Mus musculus: one gene and its partners. The protein of the gene in region 3 binds, or shares a complex with, the protein of the main gene of each other region. Links are inferred from orthologs where the notes say so. Each region holds a gene or a part of one and is shown on either strand. Other genes may lie near its edges. The genes, in order: Srsf1, Cirbp and Tnpo3.

What was found.
Region 1: the proteins of Tnpo3 (region 3) and Srsf1 are in contact, whole or in part, in a crystal structure (PDB 4C0O), measured with the Homo sapiens proteins. The link is inferred for Mus musculus from reciprocal best matches to the Homo sapiens genes TNPO3 and SRSF1. Residues at the interface, in NP_036602.1 of Homo sapiens: His155, Arg157, Arg160, Thr167, Tyr254, Ile256, Glu257, Glu304, Glu340, Ile341, Phe343, Asn344, Tyr347, Arg348, Glu351, His352, Lys355, Thr356, Arg620, Asn656, Glu660, Arg661, Arg664, Arg667, Phe668, Arg671, Ser698, Cys699, Tyr702, Ile706; in NP_008855.1 of Homo sapiens: Ser116, Arg117, Arg118, Ser133, Trp134, Gln135, Lys138, Asp139, Arg142, Glu143, Gly145, Asp146, Cys148, Tyr149, Ala150, Asp151, Val152, Tyr153, Arg154, Val172, Arg173, Asp176, Asn177, Arg181, His183, Tyr189, Ile190, Arg191, Arg198, Pro200.
Region 2: the proteins of Tnpo3 (region 3) and Cirbp are in contact, whole or in part, in a crystal structure (PDB 8CMK), measured with the Homo sapiens proteins. The link is inferred for Mus musculus from reciprocal best matches to the Homo sapiens genes TNPO3 and CIRBP. Residues at the interface, in NP_036602.1 of Homo sapiens: Arg620, Glu660, Arg661, Cys663, Arg664, Arg667, Phe668, Arg671, Ser698, Cys699, Tyr702, Ser705, Ile706, Asp709, Glu710, Asp747, Asp750, Asp751, Arg754, Arg758; in NP_001271.1 of Homo sapiens: Tyr160, Arg161, Ser163, Tyr164, Asp165, Ser166, Tyr167, Ala168.

Annotation. Positions count from the first base shown.
Region 1 is NC_000077.6:88,042,234-88,052,004, reverse strand, and holds the start of Srsf1 (serine/arginine-rich splicing factor 1), read right to left. Parts: upstream 4,633-9,771; 5' UTR 4,167-4,632; coding exon 3,973-4,166; intron 3,516-3,972; coding exon 3,331-3,515; intron 2,963-3,330; coding exon 2,790-2,962; coding exon of another isoform or gene 2,736-2,789; exon of another isoform or gene 2,594-2,735; coding exon 2,399-2,593; 3' UTR 1-2,398. UniProt on the Homo sapiens protein: Plays a role in preventing exon skipping, ensuring the accuracy of splicing and regulating alternative splicing.
Region 2 is NC_000076.6:80,163,442-80,172,887, reverse strand, and holds Cirbp (cold-inducible RNA-binding protein), read right to left. Parts: upstream 5,050-9,446; 5' UTR 4,972-5,049; intron 4,718-4,971; exon of another isoform or gene 4,471-4,717; intron 3,160-4,470; exon of another isoform or gene 3,081-3,159; 5' UTR 3,075-3,080; coding exon 2,972-3,074; intron 2,873-2,971; coding exon 2,766-2,872; intron 2,687-2,765; coding exon 2,548-2,686; intron 2,464-2,547; coding exon 2,382-2,463; intron 2,195-2,381; coding exon 2,124-2,194; coding exon of another isoform or gene 2,095-2,123; exon of another isoform or gene 1,907-2,094; coding exon 1,890-1,906; 3' UTR 1,233-1,889; downstream 1-1,232. UniProt on the Homo sapiens protein: Cold-inducible mRNA binding protein that plays a protective role in the genotoxic stress response by stabilizing transcripts of genes involved in cell survival. Acts as a translational activator.
Region 3 is NC_000072.6:29,604,339-29,613,892, reverse strand, and holds the start of Tnpo3 (transportin-3), read left to right. Parts: upstream 1-4,043; 5' UTR 4,044-4,407; coding exon 4,408-4,527; intron 4,528-9,554. UniProt on the Homo sapiens protein: Importin, which transports target proteins into the nucleus. Specifically mediates the nuclear import of splicing factor serine/arginine (SR) proteins, such as RBM4, SFRS1 and SFRS2, by recognizing phosphorylated SR domains.

The DNA of each region.
Region 1 (9,771 bases), on a different chromosome or scaffold from region 3:
ATAATTGCTGACTCAATACAGAACAGTTTGGCGACAGAACACTCTATGGCTGAAAAGATTTATAATGTATTTATTAACCCAATAAGCATTTGACAGCACACTATCCAAAATTTAAAAAAAAAAAAACTGTGTAGTCTATTTTGTCTCCTAATGTTAATACTGAATTTGAGTTCCACTGAGAATCTCAAAGCTAAAATTGATTAGCTATCAAACTTTGTACAAAAGCCTATTTTGTCTAAAGCATTACCAAAATAAACAGCAACTGTAAGTTCTTTAGCAAAATATGAAAGATTACTTTCCAGATCATTACCCTCTACACAACTGTTACGTATGTAACTGCCTTACACTCAGTTTATTATGCTCTTAAGACTTCCACAACAGAGACAGTCATCATTTATTAGAATCTTTAATTTACTAACACATAAACAGAATCAGAATCTTATCAAATTAAATAACTGATACACTAGTTACCCAATCAAAATTTTACAAGAGGAAAAAGGACAACCATGCATCGTTTTTTAAAAAATGTTTATTTTTTTCAAAGAAAAACGGCAATAGCCAATTGGAAACCTACTTATTCTTCAACTCCAATTTTGTTTTCTTTAAATTTAGAAGTGACTTACTGATTTACTATTTTAAACAAACCCCCCCTTTTCCCCTTTAAATGTTTACCATCTACTCGTGCTGAATCCTTCCAAGGAGATTGCTCCAGCGTATATCTCCAGGTCCTCGCTTTGCTCCTTTTACCAAAAAATGCAAAACACAATTCCATCGTGCATCTTAAGGGCTCCAATCGTCAAAAATAGGAAAAAAATTCTTTGGAATAGCCAATTAAGTTGAATGAAAAAAAAATCCACACGAATGCGGTTTGGTTGGGGCAGGAAGGAATCCACTCCTATGTTCCTGGTAATCTGATCCCGCTCCATGAATCCTGGTAATTCATCCTCCCTATCCTATCCACATTATGATTTGAATCCAATGATCCAGCTCCAAGGATTGGGATCCAGTGAGCCCTCTCCAATCCAAACCTTTATAACCAGCAAAACCAAAAAAGAGGAGGCAAAATGTTAGACACTGTAACCAAAAAAAGTTTCTGGGGAATGATGAGTTATGTCTGTCATCAGTTTACAGATGCACATCAATAACTATCAAATTCCCCAAAACAAGTTTCTGTATGGTGTTCAGATAAATTTTAGAAACTTAATAACTATAGAGACTAACTGGAAGAAGCACTTTATATTTACAGTTCAACTGATAATGCCAACACTTGTTACTGTACAGGTATCACAGGTTTTGTGGTTGCAAAGTTATATAATTGAAGTTTACTGGTATTACTACCCACCTAAACCTAAACTATTGCTCCCATCTGCAATTTAGCTTGTAAATTAAAGTGTTTTAAACATGAGTCAATTATGAATATTAAAAGGGAAGGTGAGACTTAAAGTACTCCCAACTAGATTATCTACACTAATACGTTGGAATTCTATTATTTTGCTGTCATTTTGTCTTTAAAAAATGAAATAACAATGCTCTATCAGTCACACAGAGGACATGCAGATTTAGCAGTATTGATATTATACTCTGTTTGGAAATTGACACCCTGTACCCACATGTACACCAACAGCAGGCCACACATTAACAGTTGTAACTAAGCACTGTGACAAATTAGCCATTCTTCCCACATTAGTCCCTATTAAAACAAAAAGGGGGGAAGGGAGCAAATAATTGTTACAAAATGGGCAATTCTACCACAATTGCCAAGGTTTTAAAAAGCAAAGCAATTGTAGCTGAAGATAACTGCATTAAGTGTTTGCAAATCTTTTAAGGTAGATAAATTTTTAACCCTCGCCTTCTAGTATAAGGTCAATACTGCCAATTTCATCTGTGACAATAGCACTTGGAGTCATACCATTGCCTCCATTATTGATCTGATCCTCCTCAATCCTCCTTTTGACAATCCTAAAATGATTGAAATGTGCTCCACAATCCTTAATCCAAAGCATTCTTAATCCATCTCTTCAGATATGTCTACAGAAAGACACATGAAAAGCAAGATAAACATAAGAACTTCCCCCAAGTAAGATAACCACAAACACCCCCAACATCCCATTTCACACAAACCAGAGCAGAATAGACATTTACATAATATCACAGTCTGAAGAGCATGGAAATTAACTAAATTTAAACAATCCTGTCTATGACATCACTTAAAATACAAGTTACCAAAGACATGAGGGGAATGTAGATGTTAGGAGCAAGGGGATATTACACAAGAATGCAATTCAACACTTTAGCCCATTCTGAACAAAACAGCTTGAATTAAAAAAATGAAAAGATTGTACTGAGTAAAGGAAAACTGTATACAACATGGGTTCTACAAAAAGTGTCACCAATCATCTTATGTACGAGAGCGAGATCTGCTATGACGGGGAGAATAGCGTGGTGATCCTCTGCTTCTCCTTGGGGAGTAACTGCGACTCCTGCTGTTGCTTCTGCTACGGCTTCTGCTACGACTACGGCTTCGAGATCGAGATCTTCCATAACTTGGACTTCTGGGCCCATCAACTTTAACCCGGATGTAGGCAGTTTCTCCCTATTGGATAGACAGAACTTTCCATTGAAAGATCTAAGCTTTCACCTGTCTTCAGACAAGCTGAACGAATACAAAGACAGATCAGGGCTCTGGTAATTTACGTGAACACCCTTGCCTGTATCCTTACCTTCAAATTCCACTGTTAAGAAAACTGTATCCAATTCTGGCCAAAAAAAAGAATAAGTGTATAACCTACCTCGTGAGATCTAAACTTAGTGTTATCCAGTTTTCGAACTGCATACGTCATATCTTCTTTCCGTACAAACTCCACGACACCAGTGCCATCTCGGTAAACATCAGCGTAACATACATCACCTGCCTCACGCATGTGATCCTTTAAGTCCTGCCAGCTTCCACTCGGAGGCAGTCCTGAAAAAGCGATTCCCCCTAATTTAATACTACTCATCCTGTCCCACGGCAAACGTGTAAAGTACATTCGAACAAGGATTATTTTAAAATACTTAATGATTGTACTTAAGTGTTTCCAGGTAAAGAGCTGGTAAGAGTCAGATCCAGAGTCCAAATTTATTTGTAAAGGATCTTCATAGGCTAGTACTGCAACCTAATTTGGGTAAATCACCACCACAGTAATCTTTATTTACTAAATTCATCCCAAAGACCGAAGTAGTCCAAGACCCCGTGTGTAAAACAAAACAAAAACAACAATAACAAAAACCTTGCAGTACTCAAAGCAGTCATGCGGGAAAAAGATTTTAACCCGCACGAAGTCAACTCACCAGAGACAACCACTCTGTTCTCGGACCGCCTGGACGGCGGGCCATAGCGGCCTCTCGGGGCGCCGCCGCCTCCACCCCCGCCGCCGCCTCGGCCGGTCCCGCGGCCGCTTCGGGGAAACTCTACCCGCAGCCGGTAGCCGTCGTAGTCGTAGCCGTCGCGACCGTACACCGCATCTTCCGCGTCTCTGCGTGTGATCACAGAAAGCGAAAGGGGGGGGTGATGAGGGGAGGGAGCCGCCGGACCCAGCTCGTTCGCCCGCTCCGGGGGTGAAAAGCCGCGGCCACAGCGCACATGCGCACCCACGGGGCCACACGGAGCCCCACATGCGCCGCATAATAGGGCCGGCCCTTCCCCCACCCAGCACCACGCCGGGCAGAGGCTCCCGACCACCTCGCCGGCCCTCAGCGCCTCGGTTTCCCGCTCCGGGGGCTGCGCATGGGCTCGGGGGGTAGGGGGGACGTCCGAGGCGGCCGGCCACCGGAGACAACGCGCCGCCTCTCGGCTCTCCTGACTCGACTCCTGCAGGGGCGATAGCGCCTCGGAGCCCCTCCTCTCCCCCCATTATGTTCCAAGGCCTCCGAGCCTTCCCCAACTCCTCCACGCTATCTCCTCAAGGCCGCGCACGCCCCACGCTGCCTCACCGCGGGTCCTCGAACTCAACGAAGGCGAAGGGCGGTCCCCCGCGGCGGTTCTTCAGGTCGATGTCGCGGATGGCGCCGTATTTGTAAAACACGTCCTCGATGTCCTTGGTTCGGATATCCGGAGGTAGGTTACCCACGTAGATGCGGCAGTCGTTGTTCCCCGCCGGGCCACGGATCACACCACCTCCCGACATGGCGGCGGCGGCGACGACGAAAAGCGCGGACTCGGGGGGGGGGAAGGAAAAAAAAAAAAAGAGGCCTTCCTACCAAGCCTAGCGTACGGCAGAGCGAGCCCTCAGCGGCACCACGTCTCCCGCGGCCGCTCCAAAATGGCGCCTTTATCAGCTCGGCGCACTGATACCGGGGGGGAGGGGGAGGAAGAGAAGCCGGAGGAAGCGGCTCGTCCCTCCCAGTGCGCAGGCGCACGCCTCTAACGGGTGCTGAGAAGCACGCTCGCGCACGCGCGACGTCACCCTCCGCACGGAGGGGAAAAAGTCCCTCGCGTCCTGGCGGGTTGACTGGCTGCTGGAACGTCCAGGCGTTTAGTAAAAATCACATGCTCTGGTTAAAGCGGTTATTATTAATCCCCACTGAGTCCAGAATCGTCGGCCACCTCGGGGGTAGACCCTCTCTGAAAGCAGCTCGGCGCTCTAAAAAGATTGGGTGAAACCTATCTTGCAAGCGTGTCCCACCATGCTCCGCGGTGGTAACGGCCTTTGGCGGGAAAGGCGCCGCGGGGCGGAGATAGATGACGCTGAGCTGTTGCTCCGGAAACCTGGGCATCTTCTGCACTTCGGTGCCGCCGGCGGGAGTTGCAGGTGATTTCATTTAAAAGCCGAAGCGGAGCAGTGTGGCTTCTGCCTCTGGGAACCTGCGGTGGGCTGCATCTTAGTTAAAGTGTCTAGACGGATCCTCCATATCTATCTAAATGAAAACTGTGCCTTGAGTTTTCCTCTTCCTCCTTTCTAAGGATGAAAAAGGAAGAGTGATAAAACAGTTTAACTGCAGAGCCGAGATCCCGGTTCTGTGCTGGTCTAGGGAGATTATTTATTTATTTGTTTATTTTGCCAAGATTATCTGCAAAAGGATTCTTGCATTGGATACCACAATTTTGCTTCTTTGTTTTGTAATAACGGGAATAGAAGAGCCTTACGTGTGAAATCATACGGCCTTGTAGTGTTGTTAATGAACTCGAATTATAATAAAAGCAAACCAATCTGGACTTAAGCTTGTGTGCCTGAAATCCTATCACTCCGGAAGCTGAGGCAAGGAGGGTCCAGCCTACCCTGTTATACACAGTTCTAGTAAAGGTTATCCCGGAGCCAGGCAGTGGTGGCGCATGCCTTTAATCCCAGCGCTCGGGAGGCAGAGGCAGGCGGATTTCAGAGTTCGAGGCCAGCCTGGTCTACTGAGTGAGTTCCAGGACAGCCAGGGCTATACAGAGAAGCCCTGTCTCGAAAAACCAAAGGGGAGGCGGGGGGAAAGGTTAGCCCGGGACATTCAGGGAAACCCTTTCTATTAAAAATATTGAAAAACAAAACGTTTTCTTGGTGTTGTTTTTGTTTTGGGGTTGTTTTGTTTGAGACACGATTTCTCTGTGTACCCCTGGCTGTCCTGGAGTTCCTGCCTTCTGAGTGCTGGGATCAAAGTCACTACCTCCCAGCTAAAACCAGAGCCTTTCATGATTGGATAGAGACAGCCAGGCGTAGTGGTAAATGCCTCTTGAAGTTTTTGGGAAGCGGAATTTCAGGGTTCAAGGCCAGCCAGAGCTGTGTCGACCCTATCACTAATAAATATGCTAAGTCGGATCCCCACAGGTTCTAAGGGTGATTCTTTATACTGTAATTTTTAGTTTTTAATTTTTATGTTATGCATATTGTGTCTTGGGGTGGTGGGTCATGCCATGGCCCATGTGTGAAAGTCAGAAAATAAGGTGCAGTTCACCACTCATGCCATGTGAGCCCCCGAGATGAAACGTCAGGCTTGGGAGGAGCACCTTAACCAGATGAGTCACTGAGTCATTGCTGCCCCTGGATGTTATCATTTATTTACAACAGTCCAAGGATGTGGGGCTGCTTAAAATGAAACCATTAAATATTAAGACTGGCTGGAGAAATCAAGGACAGTGAGAGTGGGGGAGAGGCAGAAGTGATGTATAAGGTTTCTAGGCAAAATGCCTGAAGAACTTGTTGAATTTTGGGAGATCTACTGCAAATTTGACTACTCTCACCAGAAGTCACAGTAAAGAAGAGGAGAGCATAATATATCCAATTTTTAAGCGATTTTAAAATCTAAATAGTTCAGGGGAAAAAAAACAGTTTTTTGTTGTTGTTAGTCATAAAAGCATGGGAGCCCACATCAGTAATCTCAGCCCTCAGGAGATTAAGATACCAAGGAAAATAGTGAGCTCACTGGGAGTCTACCCTGCTTCAAAAACAAAGCCAGCCGAGGTGGCATACACCTTTAATCCCAGCACTCAGGAGGCAGAGGCAGGGGGATTTCTGAGTTCAAGGCCAGCCTGGTCTACAGAGTAAGTTCCAGGACAGCCAGGGCTACACAGAGAAACCCTGTCTCGAAAAACAAAACTAAAAAACAAACAAAAAAAATATAATAAAATAAAGTAAAATTTTATATTTTTTTAACATTTATGCTAATATTGACCTCTTTGGTGATAACTTTGTTATTTTTACTACTAAAAAAAAAGACAAAGTTCTAAATATTCAACTGACCAGGCAGTGGTGGCCCACGCCAGCACTCGCTGGGCAGAGGCAGGTGGATTTCTGAGTTCAAGGCCAACCTGATCTACAGAGTGAATTCCAGGACAGCCAGGGTTACACAGAGAAACCCTGTCTTGAAAAACAAGCAAACAAAAAAACAAACAAACAAAAAAAACCTAAATATTCTGGGAAAAATTGACTTGGTTTTTGTTTTAATTACACATATTTTCAGAAAATGAAAGAAATAGTACATATCTTTGTTTTTTCATCTTTAATTGCTCACTGGTTATGAACATAATACTGGTTAATTTTGTGTTATTATAATAAAGTATCTGAGGTTGGGTAACACTTCAGAAAGATTTATCCAGTTCAATGACCCATTTATTTCTATGGCTTCTCTAGTAGGCCTTGCTAAGCAGTACATATCTTTTTATTTAGTTTATGTGTGTCTCATTTCGCCTAGTTAAATTATGTTACCAATAATGAATACTGATTATTTACTGACTGTTCCTTGAAAAATGTAGAACAGTGAGCAGACTGTTGTTTCCATGGAAACTTGATGTTGCTGTCGATAGATAGACAATGTTCGTAAGGATTGATTTCATTCCATGGATAACAAAAGCCACTTTTGAAGCCCAACTAAGACATCTAAAAATACTGCCATGGTATAATTTTATTCCAGGACTGGCTTCCTTAATTCTTTGAGTCTTTCTGCTTTCTTTTTGGCTGAATTAGCCCATCTTTGTTGTCCCATTATTAACAATATGACTTTGCCAAAAAAAAAAAAAGTTCCTAAAATGATCTGTAACAAAAAGATTATCTTCAGTATGACTTGTTCCTATATTAATTACTATTCTAGCTCTTGTCTTCCTTCCTCTTTGTCTTCTAAGGTCAAATTCAGTTCAAGTTGAACACTTCCTAGGTGAACTAATTAGGTTTTTTGTTTGGTTTTGGTTTTTCTAGGCAGTTTCTCTTTGTAGCTCTAGCTGTCTTTAAATTCACACTGTAAATTAGGCTGGCCTCAAACTCAGAGATCCACTTGCCTCTGATTCTGGGATACCAGCACTGGTAATTATTGAATTTTTTTTTTTAATGCTGATGAGTCTTTTTTGGGGGGCCTGAAGATGTTACCCCAGGTGGTCTGAAGTGCTTCATCATACCTGGCTGCAATTTCTTCTTATAATGGGGTGAAAATAAGTGTGAGGTTTTTTTTATTGTTGTTTTTGGGTTTTTTTTTTTTTGTTTTGTTTTGTTTTTGTTTTTTGTTTTTTGGTTTTTTTTTGGTTTTTCCAGACAGGGTTTCTCTGTGTAGCCCTGGCTGTCCTGGAACTCACTCTGTAGACCAGGCTGGCCTTGAACTCAGAAATCTGCTTGCCTCTACCTCCCAAGTGCTGGGATCAAAGGCGTGTGCCACCACCACCTGGCAGAGTTAGATATTTTCACTGCTACTTGTTCATAATCCTGCCAAATACAAAATTAATGTTGATAGCAATATTTATTTGAGGTTTTGAAAGTGTGACCTTCTCCCTCTTTTATTGTGTTTTTTAAAGATTTGTTTATTAATTATATGTACGTACACTGTAGCTGTCTTCAGACACCCCAGAAGAGGGCATCATATCTCACTATGGATGGTTGTGGGCCATCATGTGGTTGCTGGGATTTGAACTCAGGATCTTCAGAAGAGCAGTAAATGCTCTTTTAGATTTATTTTTTTATTTTATGTATATGAGTACACTGTAGCTGTCTTCAGACACACCAGAAGAGGGCATCAGATCCCATTATAGATGGTTGTGAGCCACCATGTGGTTGCTGGGAATTGAACTCAGGGCCTCTGGAAGAGCAGTCAGTGCTCTTAACTGCTGAGCCATCTCTCCAGCTCCACAGTAAATGCTCTTAACTGCTGAGCCATCTCTCCAGCCCTTTTATTGTTTTTTTAAATACTTATTTGTTGGTTTTGTTTTGTTTTGTTTGTTTTATTTTTATTTTTCTAGACAGGGTTCTTCCATGTAGCCTTGGCTGTCCTGCAGCTCACTTAAATCATAGAGATCCACCCGCCTCTGCCTCCTGAGTGTAGAGATTAAAGGTGTTTCCACCACCTCCTGGCTTTGTTAAAGATCCATTTCATTTTAAAAGTATAAATATGTCTTTTTTTGTTCATGCACAAGTACAGTGCCTGTGGTGACAAGAAAGGGGCAATGAGTCCCCTGGATCTGGAATTACAGGAGATAGTAGGATACCCAGGAGCCCTAGGACCTGAACTTGGGGTGTTCTACAAGGGCAGCACTTTCTGTTAGCCACTGGTTTTGTTTGTTGGTTTTTGGTTTTGTTTGACTTAGTTAGGGTTTCCATTGCTGTGAACAGACACCATGACCAAGGTAACTCTTAGAAAGGACAACGTTTAGCTGGGGCAGGCTTACAGGGTCAGAGGTGGGAACATGGCAGTGTCCAGGCCCACATGTCACTTGGGGAATGGAGAGTTCTACATCTTGTTCTGAAGGCAAACAGAAGACTGTGTTCCAGGCAGCTAGGAAGAGGGCCTCAATGCCCACCCCTACAGTGACACACTTCCTCCAACAATCCACATCTCCTAATAGTGCCACTCCCTGGACCACGCATATTCAAACCACCACATTGTTGTTGTTTTGTTTTTCTACTTTTGTTTTGTTTTTTGTTTTCTTAGACGGGTTCTCACTCTGTAGATCTTGCTGACCTCTGCCTCCCAGGTGCTGGAATCAAAGGTGCGAGCCACCACACCCAGCTATATTTATTTATTTTTATTTTATGTGCATGGGAGTATTGGCTGCCTATATCTGTTCCACATGTGTGCAGTGCCCCTTGGATGCCAGAAGAAGGCATTGTGTCCCCTGGAACTGGAGTTACAGCTGACTTTGAGCTGCATCCATTTGGGTGTTGGGATTGAAACAGGATCCTCTGAAAGAGCAGCCAATGTCCCTAACCATCTTTTAAGTAAATACTTAGGGGGCTAGAGAGATGGCTCAGAGGCTCTTGCAGACTCTCTTCCAGGGGTCCTGAGTTCAATTCCCAGCAACTACATGGTGGCTCACAACCATCTATAATGGGA
Region 2 (9,446 bases), on a different chromosome or scaffold from region 3:
CGCCTTATTATGGAGATGGGTGGACACTAAGACTCTTACCCGCTGCGCCCTAGTCACCCCTATCCCTGCCACGTCTCAGACCCAAGCCACAGAGTCGGGGGTTCTGGGTCACAGCCCTTTATTCAGGCAACCCAACCCCCCCCCCCCCGCCCCCACAACATTCTGTCCCAGCGACCACGCCAGCCCAGCTTCTTTATCTTTTCCACAGAAGCCTGCATCGCCCACGAGCCAGGTGCTAGCTCAGGAATTGCCTGGAAAAGAAGAGAAGAGATCAATCAGGGAAAGTCCAGTCCAGCTTCTAGGGGTGGGGGATCCCTCAACCCTCTGAGCACCCGGAGTGTCCAAGGACCCCAGGCCTTGACCTCGGGCACTCACCGGGCAAACTGTGTGCAGTCTATGGCTCCAGATCCTGTGGAACCCTCTAGGACCCAGAGTCAGCCATCCTCCCATGGCTCAGGTTGGCTCCCCTTCATCCTGCCAAACAAAGGCGCGTGACTCTTGGCATCCCTGTGGGCCTGCAGCGCCTGCCCTCCCACCTCCCACCCTCACGGCGCCCAAGTGGTTCGTCCCAAGGTGGCCATGCCCAGGGCGTCAGCGCCCTTTTGCAGCCCGCCTCGAGCAGAGCCGGGCTCTGTCCTGCTCAACAGCTTCACGGACTCTGGGCAAAAACTAAAGGCAGCAGCGCAGGTCTAAAGCCTGTCAAGCAAGGACCAAAAACATGCCCAGAAAGGCAGGGCGCCCGGTAGCTCTGGCCGGCCGCGTTATACTGGCGGGAGGTACCACCAGTTTGACTCAGACTTCCAGGAAGCAAATGTCAACCCCAAGTCTAAGTTTCTGTCCAAGTGAGCTATAAACCGGAGGGATGCGACACGAGCGCGAGCGAAAGTGTTACCTCGAGGCACAGGCCAGCTGCAGAGCTAGCGGGGGAGCAGCGGGCGAGTCTCGGAGGGTCTGTGGCTCGCGTCTGTCCCCCGAGGGCTGCGGCTTCGGAGGCTAGCAGAGAATGCCTGGAACTGGCGGGGCGCAGCCGCTAGGCAGCCTCGCTGGCCCTGCCTGCACCCGGCCCTGTACTGGGCGAGGCCTCTGCCGCCCTGCAGCCCCTCAGCACTGCCCACTCCCGTCCCCACTTGGCTGCTTGTTGCCTCCCGCACTGCCCTGCCTTCCTAGCTGCTCTGCTGGCCACGGAGCCGCAGCTCAGTGTCGGCAATGAAAGGGAAATGGTCAGAGCGAGATTCATTTCACACGGTCTTTTAATCGGCTTCGTGAAGCCAAAGAAACTGCGTACAAGAATTCCTCAGCCACTGTGAATACAACATCGATGGAGTATGCATGTCTTCGGTAAAAAAGGACAATATAAATAAACATTTCCACAGCCTCCCGGACTGCTATGCTCCCCATGGGCTTGAGACATGTGCCCGATGGGCAGGACCTGCTGCAACTCCGCAGCCGGGCTGGGGAGCTGGAGGGCCATGGCTTGCTCAAATCGAGTCCATTCCATCTCAGGAGGGGTGGGGCGCCAGACTTCAGGGGCGACCACACAAAAAAAGAAAAAAAAAGAAAAGCCACAACCAAAAAACCTGAAAAAACAAAAACGAGTAACCAAAACCCACACAACCCGACAATTTAGAAAAAACAAAAACCCATGGCTCATGGTAAACAGTAAAATCTGAAGTGCTTTCCAAAACGTTTTTAAGAATACTTAAAAACAGACAGCGCTTCCTTAAAAACAGGTCTAGTCACGAGGCCATCTTGGGTCAGAAGCAGGCTGCTGACGGGTCAGAACGGAAAGGACTACAAAAGTGGGAACAAGGTGCTCACTACACAACGATCAGCGAAGCTCCCCCATCTTAATTACAGCCATGGAAGGACGATCTGGACGCGGAGGGCTTTTACTCGTTGTGTGTAGCTGAGGACAGAAGCGGGACAGTGTAAAGTCACTGGAGCTTGTGCTCCGCCCGCGCGCGTGGGAGGTGGCACAGGGTTTCATGCACCTGGTGCCCTGACCTGTACGGCAGGCCTGGTAGCTGCGCCCAAGGCTGAGCGGCTTAAGATGCTCTGAGGACACAAGGGTTCACCGAGCCCAACCGCAGCCACTCAGATGGCATCCTTGGAGCTAGACTTACCATAACTGTCATAGCTGTCTCTGTAGGACCCTCCCGAGCTCCGATAACCATAGCTGCCACCCTGACTCCGGCTGTGGAAGGACACACATGGACACCCAGGCTCAGCCCCGTACCAGGTATAGTTGGCAAGAGTTGGTTCTCAGTAGAGAACAAAACCAAACCACCTACACTAGTCTGCCCTTCCCCTGGTGCACCCTCCTCCCAGGCCCAGCTGCCACCACCGAGGCTGAGCCTCCCCAAGGCTCCCATCTGGCTCACCTGGCATAGTAGTCTCTGGAGCCTCCATAACCCCCACTCCGGGACTCAAAGCGGCCACCTCCATAGCCCCGGTCTCCTCCTCCTGTAGATGATCGAGAACAGAGTCAGGGAGTCCCTACTCCTGCTGCAGTGCCACCACCAGCTGCCAAGGCACCCCAGCACTCACCTCTGGAGAACCCTCGGCCCCGGCTTCGTCCCCCACGGAAAAAGCCCCGGCCTCCAGCAGAGCCACCCCGGTATCCTCGGGACCGGTTGTCAGAAGACTTGCCAGCCTGGTCAACTCTGATCTGCCGCCCGTCCACAGACTGCAGGAGAAAGTTAGGGTCACTGTACCCGATTCCACACCAGACCTATCCAAGGTAAATTGGCTGACCTGATCCTCACCTTCCCATTCATAGCCATCATGGCGTCCTTAGCGTCATCGATATTTTCAAAGGTGACAAACCCAAAGCCTCGGGATCGCTGGGTCTCCCTGTCCTTTACCACCACCACTGCAGGAGAGAGACATTAGATGTGCCCAGTCAGCCCTCTGCCCCCCACCCCCACCCCCAAGTAGAAGCCGAGAACAATGATCCTGACCCAAGACTCACCTTCGGAGATCTGCCCATACTTGGAGAAGACCTGCTCCAGCGCCTGCTCGTTGGTGTCGAAGCTGAGTCCTCCCACGAAAAGCTTGCCTTCATCTGATGCCATGGCAGCCTATGCACACACCATAGATGTTTGCCTTAACCACCACCCCTTCCAGAAACTGAAGCCAAATAGCATATTTAAGAATATGCTTTTCAAAAAAAAAAAAAAAAAAAAAAAAAGAGTAACATATTTTATGTGCACTGGTGTTTTGTCTCCATATATGTCTCTGATGCTGTCAGATCTTGGGAGTTAGTTATGAGGTGCCATGTGGGTGTTGGGAATTGAACCTGGGTCTTCTGGCAGGCAGGCAGTGCTCTCAACCCCTGAGCCAACTCTTCAGCCCCCCACATTCTTTGCCTTTAAAAAATTGAGACAGTGTCTCCTTTTATAGTCCAGGATGGCCTTGGAACACCTGTAAGGATAAGTCACTGAAAGCTTTAAGGAGTTAAAGCTGCCTCTTCCCATCCCTTACCTACATATGTATGTATGTATGTATGTATGTATGTATGTATGTATGTATGTATATAAATAAAAGTAACCCACAGCTGGACATGGTGGTATATGCCTTTGATCCCAACACTTGGGAGACAGAGGCAGGCAGATTTCTGTGAGTTTTGAGGCCAGCCTGGTCTGCAAAGAGAGTCCAGGATAACCAGGAGTACACAAAGAAACTGGGGGGGGGGGGCTAGGGGGGAAGCATGGGGGTGGGGGGAGAGGACCCCATGGTCTTACTGGGAAACCTCAGCTTCAAGTGGGGTTTCTTTCACACCTCTCATCCAGCCATTCAAGTCACCGAGATGGGAAGATCAATGAGAAAAAGGACACTGTGGATCAGTTTGAGAGACTGTTTCAAAACAAATACCCATCTCGCCTAGCCTGTGGGAGTTGGAGGCAAAGGAACAGAATCCAAAACCAAATACAATTGCACAGCAAGTTCAATACCCTTCTGGGCTACACAAGAGGGAACTCTTTTTGCTTTTATCATCCCAAAGGCATATGGAATACTTTGTCATACAGCTGAGGCTAACCTTAAATGATTCTAGGTCTTGATTACACCTGGCCAGAGAATCCCAAGGTTAGGATCAAAATGGCATGGTCACTTTGCAAATGTGTGTGGTTGGGGACAGAAATGATAGTGACTGCCTACCCTCACTAGCATAGAGTTGTTGGGCCAGAGAAACTTCACTACTGAAATACGCTTTTAGGGTACTGTCTGGAGGTGTGCCAGTTGTGGGATGCCTCGCTTACTCAGCCAAGGACTAGAGAAATGTTTTTGCACGATGGACTCAAGGGAGAAAGGAGGTTGGCCCAAGAGGCGTGGCTAGCGAAAGGGGCGTGGTATCTAGACAAAGTCATTATTGGCAACCGACAACTTGGAAAATAAGTCCACTATACCACGAAACCAGTCTACCTTGGGGGCAATAAACTTGGGGCACAAAAGGACAACATTCAAGCCTACATGTGCTTTTTTGTTCCCCACGTGGAACCACAAGGGAAGAGAAAACCGAGGTAGAGCCAGCTGGAGTAAAAGGGTCGCACGCGACACAGCTCCACATCTGCGGACAACCGGACTTTGGAGGTAGGAGCGCCCCGCCCCCGGAGCAGCGCATGCGCCAAGCGCGCACCCTGCGCCATTCCATCCGGGCACTCGGCAGTCCCGCCATTTCGCCGGCGAAGCTTTTCAAAGCATCGCGGCGGCCATTTTACAAAAAAAAAAAAAAAAAAAAAAGCCCACCGTTAAGGTCGGCCTCGGCCCGGGGATGACGCGCGGTGGAGGACGCCCTCCGACAAGCGTGAGGCCCCAGTGTCCCGCTGCCCGCCTCGCCGCCGGCGGGGCGGACTCCAACCCGGGCCCGCCCCCAAGTCCCAGGGGCGTGCCGCTGCGGCTCCGCCTCGCCCGAGAGTCACAGGCCGCCCGCCGCCCCGGGCCCCTCAGAGCCGGTGCCGCCAGAGCCCTCACCGCTGAGTCGGGCAGGTCCCTGACGCGAGCGGGAAGACAGCGCGCCACACACACCCAAGCTTCCTAAGGCGCGAGTGCGAGGGGGAGCGCAAGAGTCCCGCCTGATATACTCCACTCCTGGAGCCACGCCCCTTAACCCGCCCACCACGCCGCGCTGACCAATCCGACGCCTTAGATTCGGCATCTGCGCCTCGGTGGAGGGGCGGGACTCCGTTGGCTTTGCCCTAGTCCGCGCGGAGGCGCTGAGTGTTTTGATTGGCTGGAATCTTTCCTGGCCGCATTTTTCCCCCCCACCCCCCGCCCGCTAGCGACTAGGAGGCGGGGACAGCTGATTTGGAGGCGGAGCTGACCCACTTCCGCGTTCCCGACCCGTTTGTCCTGCGGCGGGGAACAAAGAGCTTTTGCTACCTCAATGAGACTCCCAAATATGGCTCCAACCTTGACTCATCGACTCAACACTTTTATGTTCTTTTTTTTCTTTTAATATTTAATTACAGTTATTTAACTGAGGCGCATTTGTGAAGCCAGAAGACAGATGGAGTCTCTCCTTCCATCATGTAGGTCCTAAGGATCATACTCAGGATTAGCCACAAGCAGCTTTATCCACTGAGTCATCTTGCTTGCCCCTCTTCTCCGTTCTTGCTCATGAAACCAAAACCACCGAATTACTCTAGTCCAAAAGTACCTCCCAATACAACTGCTGCCTAACAGTTCTTTGGACCCCAAGGACACTCCATAAGATCAGCCCTAAAATTTCCATCCCAGTATTAATCACAATGTCAAGATTTTCTCTAGATTTCCTGCACCCAACTCAGTTTTCCTACAAATCTCAACCTGCTGTATAACGACCATTTGAACCCTGATTTCTGCCCATCTCCAACCAGGTGTACATTACCACACAGATGGCAAAACACCACTCTTTTCAATGTGTACCTGCATTTTCTAGAAGAGACCCCAGAGTCTCAAGCATGCCATGGAAGGATTTCTATCCTTGAGCCACACCCCTAACCCCTCACTGCAGAATTCTAAGTAGTGGCTAAACCAAGCTACATCCTTAGCCTTCTTAAACACACACACCACAGAGAACAAAACAAAAAAGTGTATTTTAATTTTATGTATATGGGTGTTTGCCTGAATGTCTATGCAGCACTTGCCTATCTTGCGCTGACAAAGACCAGAAGAGAGTGCTGGATCCTTTGGATGCAGAGGTCCAGACAGCTGTGAACCTTTATGTGGATTCTGAGAATTGAACCCACGTCCTCTGCAAGAGCCCTTTACCACTAGGCCATTTGATCCTTTGAGACAACCTACATTTTTCAATCTATCCTTGAAATCCGTAGGCTCACATCCCAAGTAGCTGTGATAACAGACCCATGTCTCCAGGCTACATTTTCTTCTCCCTCCACTGTGGTTTTGAGAGTCCTGAGTCCTGAGTAGCCTATGTAAGGATCCTTTTTTTTTTTTTTTTTTTTTTTTTGGTTTTTCAAGACAGGGTTTCTCTGTATAGCCCTGGCTGTCCTGGAACTCACTTTGTAGACCAGGCTGGCCTCAAACTCAGAAATCCACCTGCCTCTGCCTCCCTAGTGCTGGGATTAAAGGCGTGCGCCACCACGCCCGGTTTTATGTAAGGATCCTAACTAACCCCCATCTAAGGCAGTTCACCTCTCACTTCAATGGCTTCTGCTTAATATATGGCCTGAGGAACAAGCCAGTGCAGACATCTCCCTAGATATCAGTGATAGGAAATCCACACTTCAGCACTGCCCCTTGGAGAGAGTACAGTCTGGTGACTTGAGAACTGAGACATCCCAACCCTGCTTTAAGCCTCAGACTCACTGACCTTCAGATGAAGTTGGTCGAGGTGACCCAGCTGTCACCAGGAGAAGAATGCCAGGACCCCTCAGGGATTCGATGCTCCCCTCCCCCTAGACAGCAGCTGGTGACTCATGGCCACCCCCTCTGCACTTCGCTCTCTGCACGCAGCCCTCCTATCCCCGTCAGAGCAGCCTGCTGCGTCAGCCACTCACGCAAGGAGGTTATTAAAAAGAGCTGAGAGACCAAGATGCCTTCCCTCCCTCAATGTGCGCAATCCAGGAGGGGAGGGGATCGTGCCTTGCAGGGACCGCTGGACCACAAGCCAGCAGAGCCAGAAGCAACAGTCCTACAATGTGCCCACAGGAGGGAAAATTGGATCCCTGTAATCCCAGCTCCCAGGATCATGCTGGGCCCCTAGCCTGGCTCACATTCTGGCACCTTCCAGTTCCTGGTTTTGAGAATTGCCGTACTCAGTCTTTGATTCATTCATTCATTCATTCAACCAGCACCCACTTACTAAGCTTACTACTAACCGGCTCATTTGGGCCGGGCTCCACCATTACCCATAGCCATTTTCGAGCCCCAGAAAAGCGTGAAAATGTCTGACCCATGGATACGGCTTCAGGGTGCATTTTCTTTCGCCTTTGGTGTACTTGTGTCTAAAGCGTGTCCCGTGTACTTACCTGTGACCACGTGGACAGGTGGCTTAGCTTGCCACCATGACCCTTTGTTTCTTTTGGTGGGCTTTAAAGGAGTCTGAAACTCTCTCTTACACACACCTCATATCCACCAACGCTGTGAATCCCTGAACCACGGGCAAATCCCAAATAGTGCTCTCTGCCCGATAAGGACAGGAGAGGGCGCTACAGCCTCGGCTGGAGTGTTCAGGACTCATGTCCCACCTCTTTCCAGGCGGCCACCAGCTGCTTGGCCAGGCTATGGCCACTAGACGTCGCCATCGTGGACAGTTATCACTGACGGAAACCAGAGCTGTCAGTGTCAGTGCTGGTTTACCTTCGCTGTGCCCAGCTCGGTGGTAGCTGGACTGCACGCTCGAGGTTTGCTCCTGCGCGTCTGGGCAGAGCAGTTGGCCCAGTGTCGCCCATCGGGACACTAGTACTACTCCCAAAGGGATCCCATGTGTCTTGTATAAATCCGAGAGGGGGGCAGGGTGTCAGCTGCACCCCTAGAAGGCGAGTCCAGTCAGTCCTGATCTCGGGCTTACCCTGCACCCCACTCCGCTGCTGGGCGTCGCTATAGAGACGACGAGGGGTGACGCCTCCACCTCCCCATCCCCGGTTCTCCGTCCGCCCGCCGGGTCCTCCCGGACCCAGGCTAATGACCGGGCGGGAGATGGTAATAAGCGTCTGGGTTGGGGACGGGCGTGGCCCGGGATGAAAGGCGCGTTGGGGGGGGGGCACCCCGGGGCCCGGTAATTACCGCCCCCTTCTCGGCCGGGCGGGGGCCGGGGACACTGCACCTGGCCTCTGCCCGGCGGGGGCGCACAAGTGGGACCGTGATGGCAAAGCCTGGAACCCGCCCAGTTAGCTATCCCAGTTAGTTATCCTCTGGGACCAGAGCCAGGGTGGAAGATGCAGCCTATGCATGTGTGGCCAGGTGTGGCGCACATGTGTGCACGTGGGCAGAAGACCCGGAGGGACATAGATGGAAATGTAAGGATTCAGAGAAAACATCTGGATCCTGTGGACAGAGGAAATGGGTTTGTTAAATATGTGTGAAGAGGACACAGTCACCTTTGCATGACTGACCTGTTTTCCCTAAGGACAGGATGGGTGGGCAGGGTGCTGTGACGCCAACATACACGAACACAACCTGGATGTAGATGCAGGGTTAGGTGTACGTGACTGGGTGGGCCAGCACCCACGGAGGTAATGTAGCCATCTATGCCTGTGACTCACGTTCCTGGGTGGGCACAACAGAGAGCTGTGTCAGAGGCACCTGGGCTCTCCCTATTAGTGAGTCCAGAATCACCTGTAAGGGTTAAGCTTGCCTTTCTGCTACAGAGTGGGCTCTGATTTCTCTGCCACTCAAAGAGACTGCATTCTGCTTCTGGAAGGGGTCTGCAGCCAGGGCGGGCTAGGCTCAAGTTCCTGTGACTCATCCCTCCTGCAGCCCTGAGTCACACCCCAGGAATGGAAATAGGAAAGCCTGGGAGGGCCAGGCCCTGCAGGCTCTTGCCCAGACCTGGGCCTTGAGCGGCAGAGGGACGCCTCAGACAGCACACACATCCTATGACATGCCACGCCATACACATGCACATCCACGCCCTCTGCAGCAGACTTGTTGGGCTCACAGTCACAGACTCGACATGCTTTTGGTATCTGATAGATCCCGTGGAAGGTCCTCACGGGTTTCCTATACCTGCTTAACTTAACTGCCTTTTTTTTTTTTTTTTTTTTTTTTTTTTTTTTGGGTTTTTCAAGACAGGATTTCTCTGTGCAGCCCTGGCTGTCCTGGAACTCACTCTGTAGACGACCAGGCTGGCCTCGAACTCAGAAATCCGCCTGCCTCTGCCTCCTGAGTGCTGGGATTAAAGGCATGCGCCACCACACCCGGCTACTTGCCTGCCTTTAATAAATGTCTGGGACTGGAAAACAGTGCACTGAAGCCAGGTCAGGGCTGTAGGAGCAGGAACATGC
Region 3 (9,554 bases):
CGTCTATGTTAATGGCACAATTCAGGACAGGAGCACTCTGTAGAGCCACAGTTTAGCTTGCTACTGGACTTGAGGTTCACTGAAAGTCATGACTGTCAAACCTGGAACAGATCTAAGCTTTATGACAATCCCTGGGACAGTTCCTGGAGTATATAGTTGACATTCTCTTTCTCCTGCTACTATAAAAGTAAATTTCTGTGTCTGTGTTTCAGAGAGCGGAGGTCTCTTTCTCCTCTCTGCATTCTGTAGCCACAATCACCACCACATCCAATTTATTCTCTTAAATTTATTTTACACTTCACCATCTCCATCCCTAATTCCTACATTAGGCCACTATGGCTCCTCACCAGGATTGCTGCAATAGTTTATTATTTTTGTCCTTGCCCAAGACATTTAGTGTTGCAAGCTAGGATGCTTTAAGAGAAATCTCTAAGGAGCTTAAAGACACTTAAAGCAATTTCTGTTCACTTACCACCTTAAGCAATCTCTTGAGGACACAAAGATATGTAGGATGTGTTTGGTAAGTATCAAGTCTTTCTTCCAGTTGGTGTAGAATTTTTCAGCCTATAGACTTTATAAAATACACCTTTCTCTTTTTCCTACAGACTTGAACATTTGTTGCCTTTGACTGAAATACTTTTTACATTAGTTTCCTATTCATCCATCAGTCTGGTCTTAGTTTAAAATATTTTTAGATGGCCATCCTACTCCCTTCAATCTAGAGTGTTTCACCTAATTTTTTGGAAACAGGGTCTCATAAGTCACAGATTGGTTTCAAACTTACTAAGTATCTAAAAATGGTCTTGCACTTCTGATCTTCTTGCATCTTACTGTGGAGTGCTGGAATTATAAGTGTGTGCCACCACACTTGATGTAGTGAGGGGATCAAAGCCAGGGCTTTGTACAGGCTCCAGAGCTCTTTACCAAGTGAGTGACGTCCCTAGCCCAAGTTTTAATAACTCTTATTTATTTTTACTCTCTGTGTATTAGTGGTTTTGCCTTCATGTATGTGTGTGCACTATGTTCATGCCTGATGCCTGAGGAGGTCAGAAGTGGGTCCTGGAATTGGAGTTACTATAGAGGAATTTTAGCCCAGCAACATGGCTGTTCTGGCAAGGGATCACATCCAAAGACCTTCTAGGTCTTTGTGATCTTGCTGGAATGCAGATAGGCCACACACCTTTAGTCCCTCTGTTTGGGACACAGACATACCATTAGCACACACTTTTAACTCCAAACAGTGAAAGTAAGGTTAGTTTATAGAAGGAAGCAGCCATGTTTGAAATGACATCTATTCGAGGGGCAGACAAAGTGACAAATCAGAGAAAGATTTGACAGAATGAGTCAAAGGTAGAATACACCAACTCTCACAAGAACTGGAGAGGAAAAGAGGTTACTTAAGAGAGCAACAACAGTATTGGGGGGGGGTTAATGGGACAGTTTTACAGAGACATGTTGCAGAGAAAACAAGCTAGGTGAAGAGTGAGCTAGAGAATAAATAAGGAACCTGAATATTGCCAGAGTTAGTTTGAGTCCAAGCAGAACAATTCGGTGAGAAGCTGAGAGAAGCCAGTTTGAATCAGTCATTTTGAAAAACAATTTTGAGCCAGAACAGTGGAGTTGAACCAGCCAGCCAGAGTTCAGAAAGGACTAGAAAGAGTGAGTTTATTTAGTAGTAAGCCTCCAAGCTGACAATTACATATGGCTAATAAAAGTTACTTTTGCCAGGCATGTGGCACACGCCTTTAATCCCAGCACTTGGGAGGCAGAGGCAGGCGGATTTCTGAGTTCGAGGCCAGCCTGGTCTACAGAGTGAGTTCCAGGACAGCCAGGGCTACACAGAGAAACCTTGTCTCAAAAAACAAAGTTACTTTTACAAGTTACTGATGCTTGTACATTATCACATGAGTTCTGGGAAGCAAGCTTAGGTCCTCTGTGAGAGCAATACATGCTCTTAACTGTAGTGCCATCTCTCTGACTCCTTAAAGTTTTTAGTTTTGATGAATTCCAGTGACCTTTTTCTTTTTTGACTGGTTTTAGTAGCATAGCTAAGAAGTCATTGCCTGATCCAAAGTCATAACTGTATACCTGTTTTCATCCAAGAGTTTTATAGTATTAACTTTTTTGCTTGTCTTTGTTTTTTGTTTGTTTGCTTGCTTGCTTTTGAGACAGGGTTTCTCTGTAAAGCCTTGACTGTCCTGGAAGTCACTCTGTAGACCAGGCTGACTTCATTCTGCATATAAGCTCTGCCTGCCTCTGTTTCCTAAGTACTGGGATTAAATGCATGTTTCACCCTTCACCCCACAACCTCCAGGGCTCCCAGCTCAAATTCCAGCTTTCATTTAAGAATTCTTGTGGTTGCCAGGCAGTGATTGTGCACACCTTTAATCCCAGCACTTGGGAGGCAGAGGTAGGCAGATTTCTGAGTTCAAGGCCACCTTGGTCTACAGAGTGTGTCCCAGGACAGCCAGGGCTACACAGAGAAACCTTGTCTCGAAAAACCACAAAAAAAAAAAAAAAAAAAAGAATTCTTGTGACTAGTTGGGCAGTGGAGGTACATGCCTTTAATCCCAGAACCCAGAAGGCAGAGTTTCTGGACAACCAGAACCACACAAAGAACCCCAGGCTGGCCTCAAATATGCAGCAACCCTCCTGTCTCTGCCTCCCAAGTGCTGGGATTATAAATATGGTCCAGCATGAACAGCTTTAAATTCTCATCTTTTAAAATGAGGTTTAGGAGCTGGAGAGTTGACACACTCACTGATCTTGTAGAGAACCCACACTCAATTCTCAGGATCTATATAGCAGCTCACACGGTAACTCCTCCAGGACCAAGTTGCACATGCATAAATATGTAGGCAAAACACTCATACACATAAAAATAAGTCTTTAAAACTATTTCATTAGAGCTGGGCGTGGTGGCGCACGCCTTTAATCCCAGCACTCGGGAGGCAGAGGCAGTCGGATTTCTGAGTTCGAGGCCAGCCTGGTCTACAGAGTGAGTTCCAGAACAGCCAGGGCCCTCTACACAGAGAAACCCTGTCTCGAAACAAACAAACAAACAAACAAACAAATAAGCAAACCAAAACTATTTCATTAAAAAAGGACTTATTTTGGAAGGTTGTTAATCTTTCACTACATTACATTACATTACACATGGTCAGCCTTCATTAGATACTAACAGTTATTTTTAGTGAAGCAGCAATATTGGGAAACTGGCATGTTAACTGAGGATTGCTAGACAGTTGATTTTGTTTGTCATTTATTTATTTATTTGTTAATTATTTTCTGAGACAAGGTCTCTTTGTGTATTCCTGGCTGTCCAGGAACTTGCTCTGTAGACTAGGCTGGTCCAAACTCAAGAGTTAGGCCTGCCTCTGACTCCAGAGTGCTGGGATTAAACCTGTCTGCCATCACCGCTTGGCTGTTTTTTTTTTTTTTTTTTTTGGTTTTTTTTTTTAAAGAGACAGAGTTCCACGTATTAGAGGCTGGTCTTGAATTCCTCCTGATGGTGTTGTGGCTAACTTCCAAGAGCTGAGATTACAGGCTCTCTTCCTTTCTTTCTTTCTCTCTCTCTCTCTCTCTTTCTTTCTTTTTTTTTTTTTTTTTGAGACAGGGTTTCTCTGTGTAGCCCTGGCTGTTCTGGAACTCTGTAGACCAGGCTGGCCTCGAACTCAAAAATCCGCCTGCCTCTGCCTCCCGAGTGCTGGGATTAAAGGCGTGCGCCACCACGCCCGGCTGAACTGATGTTTCTTAAACACTCCTTGGAGACGGGTGAAGAAGTAGGAACCGGGAGGAAAGACTTTGGATTCCTTGCTGACGAGATAAGATTTGGTCAGGAACGTTAAGAGTAGCCAGACTTGAAGCTCAAATAAAGACTTACGCACCTAGGAGACTGACTACCTTGTGCCTACTTCCCCTTGGTTCTCCTAGTCCGGCAGGGTCACTTCCGGGAGGAGGCGGGGGAAACAAGAGGAGGCGTGCCGGGAAGGAGGCAGTTTGTGGTGCACCAGGCGGAAGTGTGCCAAAGTCTACGGACGGCCACTTCCGGCCCGGGGAAGCCCTGCTTCGGCTCGCTGCGTGGTTCGTGTCATGCGGAGGTAGGCCTCTGCGAGCAAGGCGGGAGGTGCAGAAGCCAGAACCCGTGTCCGGACTCGAGAGTCTGCGATTCTGGCGGGAAGACAAGACAAAAAGGAGGCAGGAACCTGAAAGCGACCTCTCCGCTGTTTCCGAGGGGGCAACTTCCACGAGGAACCCCCCTTCCCTGGTAACGGCCAGAAAGGAGGAGATGGCGCCAGTCAGGGAGCGGCTGTGGCCGAGACAGTGAGGACGCTTGAAGGCAGAGCAAGCGGAAGCCTAGGGAGGAGTATCGGGCTCTTTGCTGTCATCGCCGCCGCTCCCGCCAGCATGGAGGGAGCCAAGCCAACCTTGCAGCTCGTGTACCAGGCGGTGCAAGCGCTTTACCACGACCCGGATCCCAGCGGAAAGGAGCGCGCCTCGTTTTGGCTTGGGGAGCTGCAGCGTTCGGTGAGGTTCGGGGAGAGTCCGTTCTGAGCCGCGCGGGACCAGGGCCGAGTGGGATGGGATGGTTCTCCGCTTGAGTGGAGCGCTTGGCAGTGGGAGATCCTCTTTCCGAAGGAGCTGGTGCCGCGGGGTGGGGCTGAGCAGCCACAGATGTGCTGCCTTTCGGAAACCAGTGGCAACTGATTGGTCACGAACGGGCCCTTTCCCTCGTCTGTGGAATCCGTTTTGTAGTTCTGTACGTCTCGCTTGTGGTCTGGCTCTCCTTTAAGTGCTTTTGGTACACCTTCCGTATTCAAGAGTTGCATCTGGCAATACCTTCCCTTTGGCAGCCTTACTCACCCCTCAGTGTCCCTTGCCGATTTTCATTCGTGTTATTCTCGAAATTTCTCAGGCTTCTAGATTCGTGTTCGTACAAATTTTCTCCTCTCATTGGAGTGCAACGTAATATAAAGAAAAATTAGTTATGGTTTCAGGAAATCTTTGTAGTTCTTTTGTTTTATATCAGATTCCTACTGTATTTCTTCTGCCTGTACGTTTTTATTTGTAAGATGGCTATCATAGCTATATTAATTAGTCCATATTTTTGTGAGCATGTGGTGGAGTGTGTGTTGTATCTATCGTATTTCCACATGTTAAATTTTTGGGCTCATGTTTTTTCATTTTTTGACTCACACTTTGTATTTTCTTCCATGATTTTTCACACTCACCTTTGCTATGTTTTTATTTTTTATGAATTTTAATAGCTTGTGATTTTGCTGACAGTGTTTAGGTTTTAGTCTATGAACTGTGAAATTCTTTGAAAACTAAGGAGCCTCTTAACAGACTAAGTACCTACTTTCTTTTTCTTTTCCTTGTGTTTGGTGCTGGGGATCCAGTCCTGCCTACATCTCTAGCTCTCTCTCTCTCTCTTCACCCTTTATTCATTATTTCATTTTATACTCACAAACATGAAATGCTTGCTCTCCCTTTTCTGTTTAACTCATAACTGATGTTTAATGGTGCTGTATCTTCTTAAATAAGCCCCTAGGTTGCAAGTACATAATTAAAAAAAAATATTTGCCACTTTAACTCTGATGGTTGCATGTAAATGTGACACTCAAGTTCTTGTTTATATTGTGGGAAGACAAATAAAATTTTGCTGGGTGTGGAAGCACTCGACTTTAATCTCAGCTGAGATTAAATCTCAGCAGAGGCAGGCTAATCTCTGAGTTCCAGAACAGCCTGGTCTACAGAGTTCCAGGACAATTAGGGCTAAATGGAGGAGGAAAAAAAAGGTTCAGTGTAGGCTCCCCGTGTAGGCCTCCTGTAGCTTTTAGTTCTGCAGACGAGGGAGTTACAGTTCTCTACAGTTCTTCATACAGTTTTCTATTTTTTTTAAAGGATTTATTTATTTATTATATGTGTATATGCTGTAGCTGTCTTCAGGCACACCAGAAGAGGGCATCAGATTTTTGTTATGGATGGTTGTGAGCCACCATGTGGTTGCTGGGATTTGAACTCAGGACCTTTGGAAGAGCAGTCGGTGTTCTTAACCGCTGAGCCATCTCACCAGCCCCTCATACAGTTTTCTAACATATAAGTAACCTACTAGGTGAGCTCTTCTTTGCTGTATCTACTGATTGTGTTTTAAATCAGTACTGGAGAACCTATCATGGACAAACAAGTTCTAGATGTTGGTAATTGGAAACAAGCAAATGAATCTGTGGTGACCGCATAGTATACTCATGCTGATAATGTAACATGTCCAGAGCTGAGAGACATTCTTCAGCATAGAGCTTAAAGTATGTTAGGATTGAGTTACTCACCTTCCTCTCCTTTAGTTCCAATTATTCTGTGTGTCTATTCATTGTAGAATCTCAACAGGAAGAGATGACCAACTTGACAGAATAATTAGTTGGGAGAATTTTCTTTTTTTCTTTTTTTTTTTTTGGTTGTTGTTTGTTTGTTTTTGTTTTTTTTAATGAGAGATACTAGGGATTGAACCTAAGGCCTCACACATGTTGTGCAAATTGTTAATCTCTAAGCTCTATTCCCATCCTTTTTATTTTTATTTTGATAAAAAAAACTTTTTAAGTTCTCTAGGCTGGCCTTTAACTCACAATATAGCCTCTAAGTAACTAGATGTTGGTAATTGGAAACAAGCAAACAAGCCTGTGCTGACCACATAGTATACTCATGCTGATAATGTAACATGTCCAGAGCTGAGAGGCAGGCCTACAGGTCTCCTTTCCTTTCCATGCCCCAGGCGGGTTTGTTATAAACACACTATACAGCTGCGGGTACACTGTTGTCAGAAGAAATAGAATTATAACCTCTAGCCAAACTGTTATTTTCTTCTGGAAGGAATAGAGAGAGAGGAGCAGTTACTTAGCTTCTTTGAGGGAGAATGACATGTTTCTGGTGACAAAACTTGAGGTCCTTTGCAGTGAGGGAGCTGGAAGAATTTATTTGCTGACTCTGTTCTTCTGGGATTCCTTATAGATCAAGCCAACTAGTATCCAGGGGACATTAGGAAGCAGAGGCAGGTGGATCTCTGAGTTTCAGGCTAGTGTGGTCTATGTAATGAATTCTAGGACAGCCAGAACTATGTGGAGAAACCCTGAATCAAGGTGTGGGGGACGGGAAAGGGGAGAAAGTCTGCTGGAGCAGAAAAGATGTAGAAAAGGGGTGAAGAACACCCAACGTGCTTGTACATCATCATTTGGTCAGCTTCAGGGTGTCCATTTCTTTATTATGTGTTATGTGTGTGGACACACTTGTGTATGTCAGAAGACAACTTGTGGAAGTCAGTTCTCTCATGTGGGTTCTAGATACCTAACTAAAGTGGTCAGGCTGGGCAGCAAGTGGCTACAGTCTGTCTTTCTCAAGTGCCTAACTTGAGCATTTAAATGAACAATCACGTTATCACTTTGGCCTTTTCATTTCTTTATTTTCTTCAGGTCATGTAGTTGTACCCTGGATCTTGTCATTACCAAAATCACTATTCAGATATCCTTCTCTGAGCACAATCCATTAATTACTGTTTTCTGGCTCAAGAATTTCAAGTAACCCTGTGTTTGAATTTTTATTATTTTGCAGTCCTATATAATTTTAATTCTTATCAAAACTTAAGTTTTACTTTAAAATTTAAAAGTCTTTTGTGCTTGCTAGTATCTTTAAAATTTTTTTTGTTTTGTTTTCTATATATATATGCCATTTGTTCCCAAATGTCCACAGTATAAAATGTCCAATATATGTTCATATTGATAACCTATTTTCCTGTTATAGAAAACAGGAAATTTGTTGCCTGAAATAAGCTTGTAGCCCTAAGATTTATCAACTCCCAAAATAGCCCTCACCCCACTGACTTGAGTCAAATATGAATGATCATAGTCTACAAACATGAATTCAGAGTGCCTTTATTTTGTTGTGCGATGGAATTGGTGACATGAGATTGTATTAGTTATGGAACAGGGGAGTGGGGCTGGAGATACAGCTCAGTGCTTAAGAGTCCTTACTGCTAAGAGAGTCAGTGTTTGCCTCCTAGCACCTCTCTGGCAACTCACAACTGCCTGTACTCAAATTCCAGGGCATCTGGTGCTCCCTTCTGTGTACATACTCACACACACACACACACACACACACACACACACACGGGGATTGGGGGGGGGAGAAAGAGAAATTAAAAAATAAAAAGGAAAGTCAAATCTCAGAATTTATGGGTTTTATTGGTGGGCCTTTGGATGAGCAGGTTATAGGAAAGAAACAGGGATACTGCTGTAGGTCTTTTGTTTTCTAGAAGTGTTTTGTTTTGAGACAGTCTTCCTATGTATGCAGCCTTGGCTGGCCTGGAACTCAATGGAAATCTGCCTTCCTCTGCCTCCTAAATGCTAGGATTAAAGGCATGTGTCACCACAATTGGCTCTGAGTAGGTTTTAGGTACTGATAACATTTTTAGCCTTTGGACTGGTAGAAGTTAGTGGTTTGCTAAGAATGTACCTTGAAGTTTGAAGGACAATGAATGGCTATTGAGGGGGTTAAAAATAGTGCAAGATAATTTGGCTCTGTATCTGCATCATTCTAACTTAATATCATCAGAAGTTTTAATCAGCCATTGAGCCTTATAGAGTCTTTAACACAGGTATGGGGTTTTTGAGACAGGGTTTCTCTGTGTAGCCCTGGCTATCCTGGAACTCATTTTGTAGACAAGGCTGGCCTCAAATTCAGAAATCCGACTGCCTCTGCTTGTGCCTCCCCAGTGCCAGGATAAAAGGTGGAGGCCACCATTGAGCTGCCCAGGTGTGGGTTTATTTATTTATTTCCTTTCTGATAACTTTAATATGTAGAATCTTTCATCTGTCTTGGTTCTGTTTCCTAATTAACTGTCCTGGGAATCCCTCTTTAAACACTGTCCTAGGGAATTTCCTTCACCTCTTTCTTGTGTTGGGTCTACTGATAACTGGATTTTATAATATTTTCATGAATTATTCTTTCATTTGGTGGATAATTGAGGTTACCTTAAACCTTTTATTGTCTTTCCATTTGTCTGGAGGTCAGAGGACAACCTTGAGTGTCATTTCAGGAACTAATGTCCAACTCCTTTGAGAGAAAGCTAGTCTGGTTAGCCAGATGGTCCCTGCCTCCCCCATGCTGGTACCTGGCTTTTTAAATGTGGGTTCTAGGGTTCAAACTCAAAACCTTATTCTTTTAAGGTTAAGTTCTCTCCAGCTTTTTTGGGGTGGGGTGAGGGAGATGGGCTAGAGTTTCATTATGTAACCCAGGCTGTCTGAATTGGGGGTCCTCCTGTCTCTGCCTCCTATTAGAATTATAGTGTGCTACAATGTTTAACTCTTTTTTTAATATTCTTTTTTAAAATTTTTAAAAAAGATTTATTTATTATATGTAAGTACACTGTAGCTGTCTTCAGACACTCCAGAAGAGGGAGTCAGATCTTGTTAGGATGGTTGTGAGCCACCATGTGGTTGCCAGGATTTGAACTTAGCACCTTTAGAAGAGCAGTCGGTGCTCTTAATCTCTGAGCCATCTTTCCA